2 linked regions of the Rattus norvegicus genome follow. The protein of the gene in region 2 purifies or fractionates together with the protein of the main gene of each other region. This does not show direct contact. Links are inferred from orthologs where the notes say so. Each region holds a gene or a part of one and is shown on either strand. Other genes may lie near its edges.

Evidence for each region. Proteins that work in one complex are often made in the same cells at the same time.
Region 1: the proteins of Isca2 (region 2) and Iba57 purify together in Homo sapiens (co-immunoprecipitation; 4 studies listed by BioGRID and IntAct, with this or other methods). This does not show direct contact. The link is inferred for Rattus norvegicus from reciprocal best matches to the Homo sapiens genes ISCA2 and IBA57.

What each region holds. Positions count from the first base shown.
Region 1 is NC_086028.1:44,447,521-44,451,825, reverse strand, and holds the start of Iba57 (putative transferase CAF17, mitochondrial), read left to right. Parts: upstream 1-1,457; 5' UTR 1,458-1,505; coding exon 1,506-1,846; intron 1,847-4,305. UniProt on the Homo sapiens protein: Mitochondrial protein involved in the maturation of mitochondrial [4Fe-4S]-proteins in the late stage of the iron-sulfur cluster assembly pathway. Operates in cooperation with ISCA2 in the maturation of [4Fe-4S] proteins.
Region 2 is NC_086024.1:110,148,312-110,151,603, reverse strand, and holds Isca2 (iron-sulfur cluster assembly 2 homolog, mitochondrial precursor), read right to left. Parts: upstream 2,012-3,292; coding exon 1,941-2,011; intron 1,750-1,940; coding exon 1,647-1,749; intron 1,532-1,646; coding exon 1,416-1,531; intron 1,012-1,415; coding exon 837-1,011; 3' UTR 501-836; downstream 1-500. Other genes in the region: Npc2 (NPC intracellular cholesterol transporter 2 precursor), read left to right, coding at 2,454-2,544. UniProt on the Homo sapiens protein: Involved in the maturation of mitochondrial 4Fe-4S proteins functioning late in the iron-sulfur cluster assembly pathway. May be involved in the binding of an intermediate of Fe/S cluster assembly.

The sequences.
Region 1 (4,305 bases), on a different chromosome or scaffold from region 2:
TGCTCTTAACGACTACTGAGCCATCTCTCCAGCCCCCTCTAAATTCTATTGTTAACAAGATTAAGAACACACAAAAGGGAAGTCCAGTTTCCTTGGTAGTAATATGATCCAGTATGCCCAAAAAACAAGAACAGGGTTTCAAAGAGACATTCATATAGTCATTTTCATAGCAGCATTATTCCTGCTCCAAGAATCGGAGACCTCCCAAGTGCCCACTGCCAGCCCAGTGCATAAGGGAAAGGTAGGAATTCACATAATGAATTACAATTCTTAAAAAGGGAAGGAAATTCTGATACGTGTTACAGTGAGGATGGATGCTCCATGAAGAGAGCCAGGTGCAAGAGGCAGGCACCGAAGGTCCTCAGAGGCTTCCAACACACGAGGGCAGAAAGAGAACTGTAGGCACCAGGGACTGGTGTGTTCTGGGAGGAGTCAATACAGACATGAGAAAAGTTCTGGAGCTGGATGATTAGCGAGGGCTGTGCAGCCATTTGACCAAAGCTGATCTGAATGCACTAAAAGTGGTCTCGCTGGTCTGTTTTCAACTTGTCACAAACCTAGAGCTATCTGGGAAGAGTGACTCTTCAGAAAATGTCTCCATAAGTTTGGACTGATGTGAGAGGGCCCGGCTCACTGTGGACAGGTGTTCCTGATTTGTATCAGAAAGCCGGCTGAAAAAGTCCTAAGAATCAGGACAGTAAGAAGCTTCTTCCAGGGCTTCTGCTTCAGTTCCTGCCCTGAGTTCTCTCAGTAAGTGGGTGTGACTTGAGTGTTTTCAGATGACGTGAACCCCTTTTCTCCCCAAGTTGCTCTTTATTACAGCAATAACAAAGTAACAGTGGTAAAGATGGTAAATTTTATACTGTCCGTATTTGACCATGAACAAATGTCCAATTTTTCCCCCTCCTTTTCTCTGGGCAGTACTGGTGATGGGAACCATGGCTTTCTGCCTGTTAGGAAATGCTCTTCCATTGAGCTATCTCCAGCACTCTCGCTTTTTTTTTTTTTTTTTTGGTTCTTCTTTTCGGAGCTGGGGACCGAACCCAGGGCCTTGCGCTTCCTAGGTAAGCGCTCTACCACTGAGCTAAATCCCCAGCCCCGCTTTTTTTTTTTTTTTTTTTTTTTTCTTTTTTCGGAGCTGGGGGCCGAACCCAGGCTCTACCGCTGGCTGAGCTAAATCCCCAACCCTCGCTTTTTATTTGGAGACAGGATTTTAATTTGCCCAGGCAGGTCTTGAACACGCATCCTCCCGCCTCTGCCTCCTGAGAGGCTGGCTGGGATTACACACTAGGACCAACATAAAATGGCAAATTTTATGTTTATGTATTTAACCACAACCACAAAGGGTTTGAACGGGAGCCAACTAAGGAAAAGGTCGTCGGGTGGCTCTATCTGGGCTTGCGCACCCATCGGCTAGCTGAGGCCCCGCCTACTTCCCCCCACGCACGCGCGTAGCCCGCCGCCGCCGGGGGCAGCTGTGGTGCCCGCCTTCACTAGCGCCCAAGATGGCAGCGGTGGCGCTGCTTCGGGGAGCGGCTGCGGGGCGCAAAAGCCCGGCATGGCAGTGGCGGCCGAGCGGGACCACGAGACACTGCCCAGTCCGTGGTTCCGGCCTTTTCCGCGGCAACTCCACGGATAGTGTAGCCTGGACTTGCTTCCGGCTGGATGGGCGCGCCTTAATGCGCGTGCGCGGCCCGGACGCTTCACCCTTCCTGTTGGGACTATTGACCAATGAGCTGCCGCTTTCGGGGCCTCCGGCCGGCGCGACTCAGCCCTCTGCGCGTGCGGCCTATGCCCATTTCCTAAATGTGCAGGGGCGCACGCTCTATGACGTCATTGTGTATGGGTGAGCTTTGGGCTGCAGGGCGGGGTAATAGGAACGTTAAAGTGTTGTGGGAGAAGATTAATCAGGAATCCCATGAAGGATGTCCAGGATAAGATTTCTAGGGAATGCTGGCCAGACACCTTTGGGAAGAGGCTTAATTAGAAGACTCTGAAAATGACTTTCTGAGGAGGACATTGTAGACTTAGGGAAAGGGTCACCTAGAGGCGGATCTCCCATGAAAGGCATCCAGGTTGGGCTAGTTACTTGCACGGATCCCCAGCCAGTCAAGTCAGAAACTGCTATACAGTGGCTTCTGGAGTTAAGCATTTTCAAGATAGGGGCTTCAGTCTTGTCCCTCCCTCCTCACTTCTTGGAAAGATTTCATTGGTCCTTGGGGCTTTATTTAAAGAGCCACTCTGTTCACAGTTACAGATTGTACTAGTGTTCTGAGAATCCAGTTTCCCCCTTACTTCCGGTTCCTCATTGCCGTGCCAGCTGTTTGCCTGTATGATCTCATCTATGCAGACCTGACTGTGACTGTAAATAGCGTTTGCTGGCCAGCCTGGGCAGGGCCTGTTTCCATAGCATTGAGTCTTCAGTTGCTCACTTTTACAGGACGTAAGTCCTGAAATCTCAGCACCATCTAGCAGGCATGTGAAGACCCACCCTCCCTAGCCTGTCCCTGGGCTGTTCCTCCTTGACTCCTACTAGTCTGAGCTACTCAGTGTCTTTCTAACATGGGTTTTGGTGAGCCTCTTCAGTAACCCCCTAGATGCTCAGAGTGGGAGTATATGGAGAATCCTCATAATTGGAGAATAATTCCTGAACCCCTGAGGGTGGCTGTTCCAGGATGAAAGTGAGAATTGGCAGCCATGATAGCATTATCCAGTAGCTGTCAGCATGCTGTAGGCGAAATCTAGAGTGTCTGTCTCCAGGTGCTAAAAGGCCATGGTGATGTGCTTTCTACACTTGATCTTTGCCAAAAGGCCAAGAAGCGATGTGATGTGCTTTCTTTCTTTTTTTAAAAAGATTTATTTATTTCATGTATGTGAGTACACTGTTGCTGTCTTCAGACACACCAGAAGAGGGCATCGGATCCCATTGCAGATGGCTGTGAGCCACCATGTGGTTGCTGGGAATTGAACTCAGGACCTCTGGAAGAGCAGTCAGTGCTCTTAACTGCTGAGCCATCTCTCCAGCTAGCTAGAGGCTTGCTTGCTTCCTTCCTTCCTTCCTTCCTTTCTTCCTTTCTTCCTTCCTTTCTTTCTTTCTTTCTTTCTTTCTTTCTTTCTTTCTTTCTTTCTTTCTTTCTTTCTTTCTTTCTTTCTTTCTTTCTTTCTTTCTTCTTCCCATTACTTTACTTAGTGAATCTCTGAATCTAGAGAACTAAGTTGGCAAATGACAACCCACGGGCCAGACCCAGTAGGATGCTTTGGTATATAGAGTTCTGTGAGAACCCCGGGGCTGTGTCTTCCAGGCAGTGTTAGTTAGGGCTGCAGTGACTCAGGACCTCAAGCCTAACCAGTCACTGCCCTTTGTAGAAAACATGGATGGACTCTGTACTGGAGGCTTGGATCTGACTGCATTTCCAGGATGCCATCATCTCTGTGTGTGCTGCCAATAGGCAGCTGGGTGTTGCCAGGTGCTAGCCTTTGGTGACTTCCATTCCTCATGATGAGCAGTAGCTGCCAGTCTAGTAGCAGTTGCCCCTAGTGTTGAAGACCCTAAGTGTTTGCAGCCTTGGTCCTACAATGTTTACAGCTCTTGTGGACCTTCTATTGGGATTCCTCCACTCTTGGCAGCAGCCAGTGTTACAGCTCTTGTAGGGCTAAGGAAGTTGAGATTTTTTAGCCATTGATACCAACCATCATCACTGCTCCTCCACACAGGGTCTCAGACCCTTGGCTCTAAAGTTTTGATTGACAGCTCTCTGGAAGTCTTCAGTGACCTGGGCCTGCAGTTTCTCTTCTCTGGCCCTTTGCAATCTTTTATCCTTCTTCAGTCTCAGCTTGCTGTCTCTCTTTATCTGCCATCTTTCTTACTGCCCAGGCTGTTGCCGAACTGCTCAGCTGTTGCCTCAGCTGTCAGACGACTGGCAGTCTTGTCTTCTCTGCAACTTGGCTTGTCCACTGCTCAGCTGCTGCTGCCACTGCCACTGGGGTTCCACTGCCTCTGCTGACCTCTGCTGTCTCCACTGCTACTTTCTCTGTTACCAGCCCAGCCCACACTACTAAAAGCAAGAAAACGGAGAGAAGCCTTTTCTTGGGCCTGCTGCTCCCACACTGGGGCGAAGCTCAGGAGAGTCTCCCCACAGCCTCACTAAGGGAGCCTTCACAGCCAAAAGAACGTTTGAGCCAATCACAGACTTGCCTGTTGGCAACCTTCATAATAACTGAGGATTGTGTTTTGGACAGTTGTAACCCTGTGTCTTTAGCAGTAGTTACAATAATCCCTCTTCTAGGCTACCAGGGAGATGCTGT
Region 2 (3,292 bases):
AACCTCTGTGCCAGAGTGTTTGCCTAGCAGTTACAATGCTCTAGGTGTCCAATCCTGGGGGAGTAGAGGACATACAACCACAAAAAAGAAAAGAAAGGAAGACGAGGAGGAGGAGGAAGAGGAAGAAGAAGAGGAGGAAGAAGAGGAAGAAGAGGAAGAAAAGGAGGAGGAGAAGAAAAGGAGGAAGAGGAGGAAAAAAAGAAGAAGAAAAGAAAAAGAAGAAAAAGGAATGACCCAAGCCTGGTAGTAATATTTCTGCAGTTCCAGCATAAAGAGGCTGAGGCAGGAAAATTGAGAGTCCAAAACTGGGGCTACCTATAAGACTCTGTTGAAAGAAAGAGGGAAGGAAGGAAGGAAGGAGGGAAAGAGAAAGTGGCAGCAGACAATAGTTGTTTGCCTTCTAATCGATTTTGGCCTCAATTCTGGTATTCAAGCTACCCAAACTGTGATCCTGATTAAAAACACGGTAAGAACTTAGTTTATAATGATGCTTTATATATAGCTATACACACACATATAAACAATTTTGAAGGCTAGAGAAGTTAACTCCAAATTTTGGAGTCCTAGAGGTACTAAGTGCTAGGGTTCCAACCAGTGATTAAGGTTGAGGTAACGGCATTTGGATTTGGCCTTAACATTGTGCTGGGGGAGGGGAGAGTATTTCTGTCAAGAGTAAAAGCTTCACATTCCATAATTAATAGTGGTAAAATAAGACACCGCTGGACTAAATTAAATGAGAGGGGGACATGATGAGAAATCGATCTCTAGAATTCTACTATTCCCGGGTTTTTCACACTGGCACAATGGTGGCAATCCCAGAGTCATCTGCCATTGTGTCAGATTTTGATAGAGAAGGATGACCCACAGGAGCAGCCTTGCTGGGCTTGAGGATTATTCAACACCTGGAATGAGCTTCGGATTAGTTCTTGGCTGAAGTCCACCTGGGCCCCCTTAACGTAGGCCAAGCTATCAGAGTCAACCACCACTCTTGCCCCACCCTGTTCAAATACCCTGAAAAGACAAGAGGAAAGCATTAATGACAAATATCATAACCCTGAGCCCAGAAGTGTACATCCTGTTCTCCAATACATGGAATACTGCTTAGGACTTCTAGGAGGTACAGACTGTACTTGAAGCAAAAAGATTCAATGTAAAAAGCAGAAGGACTATTTAAGGACTTGGTCTGAAACTAGTCCAGCCTTTCTCAACTAACTACTCAATGGACCCTAAATTAAGTCAATTTTCTTATTTTGAAATAAAAGGGCAAATCTTTGTTGTATCCTCACACAGTATGGGGAGGGTGGTGTTGTTAAGCACACTTAAGACGCTTGGAAGTTTGGAATAAAAGCGCATCTTAAACTGGGGTCATTTTTATCCCCTAACACAGCCTCTAGCGACCCATCCGTCCTCCTTGCCTGTCGTCGGGGTTAATAACTGTGTCCAGTGAAAATTTGTATTGGAATCCGGAGCATCCACCTCCCTCTACTTGCAGCCTGAGGAATTCTGACCCTTCGGTGATTTCCAGAAGCCTCTGAAATTCAGGAAAGAGGATAAAGAATGCCAAGCAAGCGGAGATAACGGGGCGGGTGAATGGGACCTCTTCTCGAACCCTCCTGGGTACCGCCGCCCTGCGTCCGGCCTCCTACCTGGACGCAGCTGTCTGTGAGGCGGATCTGTCCCTCGCCAGCCTCTGGAATGGAGGACGTTGTTTCCCAGCGGGTCAAAAGCCTGGGAAAGGCGGCGAGGAGCCTGCGATGAGAAGAAGGAAGATGAACCCGGGAAACAAAAGTGGCACCTGATGACCCTCAATGACTCCTCGTACCCAAATCTGACGACACCTTCATCTGAACTGCCAAGCCTTCACCTCCCCCGTGAGGTTTAGTCTCCCATCTATCCTGAAGACGCAGGACCCAACACCCTTCCTAAGTGACGTTAGGTACCTTCCCTGGCGCCTAGGAATGGCGGCCCCGAACGCCTCAGCAGTTAGGGACAAGGCCCTGGCGGCCGCCATCTTATTCCGCAAGCTCCGCCCCTAGCATGGTCTAAATCCCCACCTTAGCCTGGGCTTCGGGGGGCGGGGAGAAGGCAGGGGCGGGGTTGCATCGAGTCTCCGCCCCCAAGCGTGCCTATTGGGTATAACGAGATAAGAGGTTTTGATTGGCAGAGAATGCTTCCACTTGCCGAAACGGGGCGGTACCAATAGAATAGGGGCGAGCGCAAAGAAGAGTGAGGGTTCTCTGGATGCCCGCCCTGGCAGCGGAAGAGATGGGCGGAGATAAAGGATAAGCTGTAGGCTAGGCGGCTGAGGAGCCCGGGGCGGGGCGCGGGGCGCGGGCGGGTCTTCGCTGGTTACTGGTCACAAGTGGCCTGACCTGGCTCCACCCTCGGTCTGCCGGGACAAGTTTATCTTGTGACTGTCGGGCTGCTTTCCCTTCCTAGATTGCACAGCGTTCATGCCCAGGATGAGCTTCCTGACCCCCACGATCCTGCTGCTGGCGCTGGTCGCCGCCACCCAGGCCGAGCCCCTGCACTTCAAGGACTGCGGTGAGCCCTGAGCCCACTCGAGGAGACCCGCGGGGGTGGATTGGGCGGGTTCCTGGAACGTAGATGATCGGCCGCGGACCCTGGGTGGAATGGACTAGGTTGGGGCTGAAGGTACTAGCCTTGATGAAACTTAACCCCTCCGTACAACTTTGTCTCTCCTTGCAATTCGTGTTTTGGGATTATCTCAAACACTCTCAAGGCGAAGTTCTCTAAAGTTTCTTGGGTGAACCTCAAGCGAGTATATCTTTGCAGCGCTCAAGGTCTTGGAGATTTCAATGGACGGAGGAAGATTGCGAATTCAAGGCTAGCCTGGGCTTATTGAGCCCTGTCTGAAAAAAAGTAAACAAATAAAAGCAAAAATTAAAACAATAGGGTAGACAGCGGGTCGGCCTCCAACACGGATTGAGGGAATAGGCACAGAATTTCTTTTGATTTCCGCCTTGTATCTTCACTAGCCTTTACCCCTTTGTTCGTTTGAAGTTTTCTCTTTGGCTGGGAGGGGTCTGAGGCAGCCTCACTCTGTTATATTTTCCAACAAAGAGTCCAGGGGCAGCACTGAGAGGGAGGCGTCACAAGATGTCACTAGATATACGAATTTTATAGGAGACACGGCTCCTGAAGTCATCCAGTCAAGTCTGTACAATTGCAGGAGCAGAGCAGGGGAACGGGGTGGGGGGTGGTGGGGGTGGAAAGCCGGGCAGTGATGGGTGAAAGACCAACTGGTTTTGTAAAATATGTGAGCAGGAGG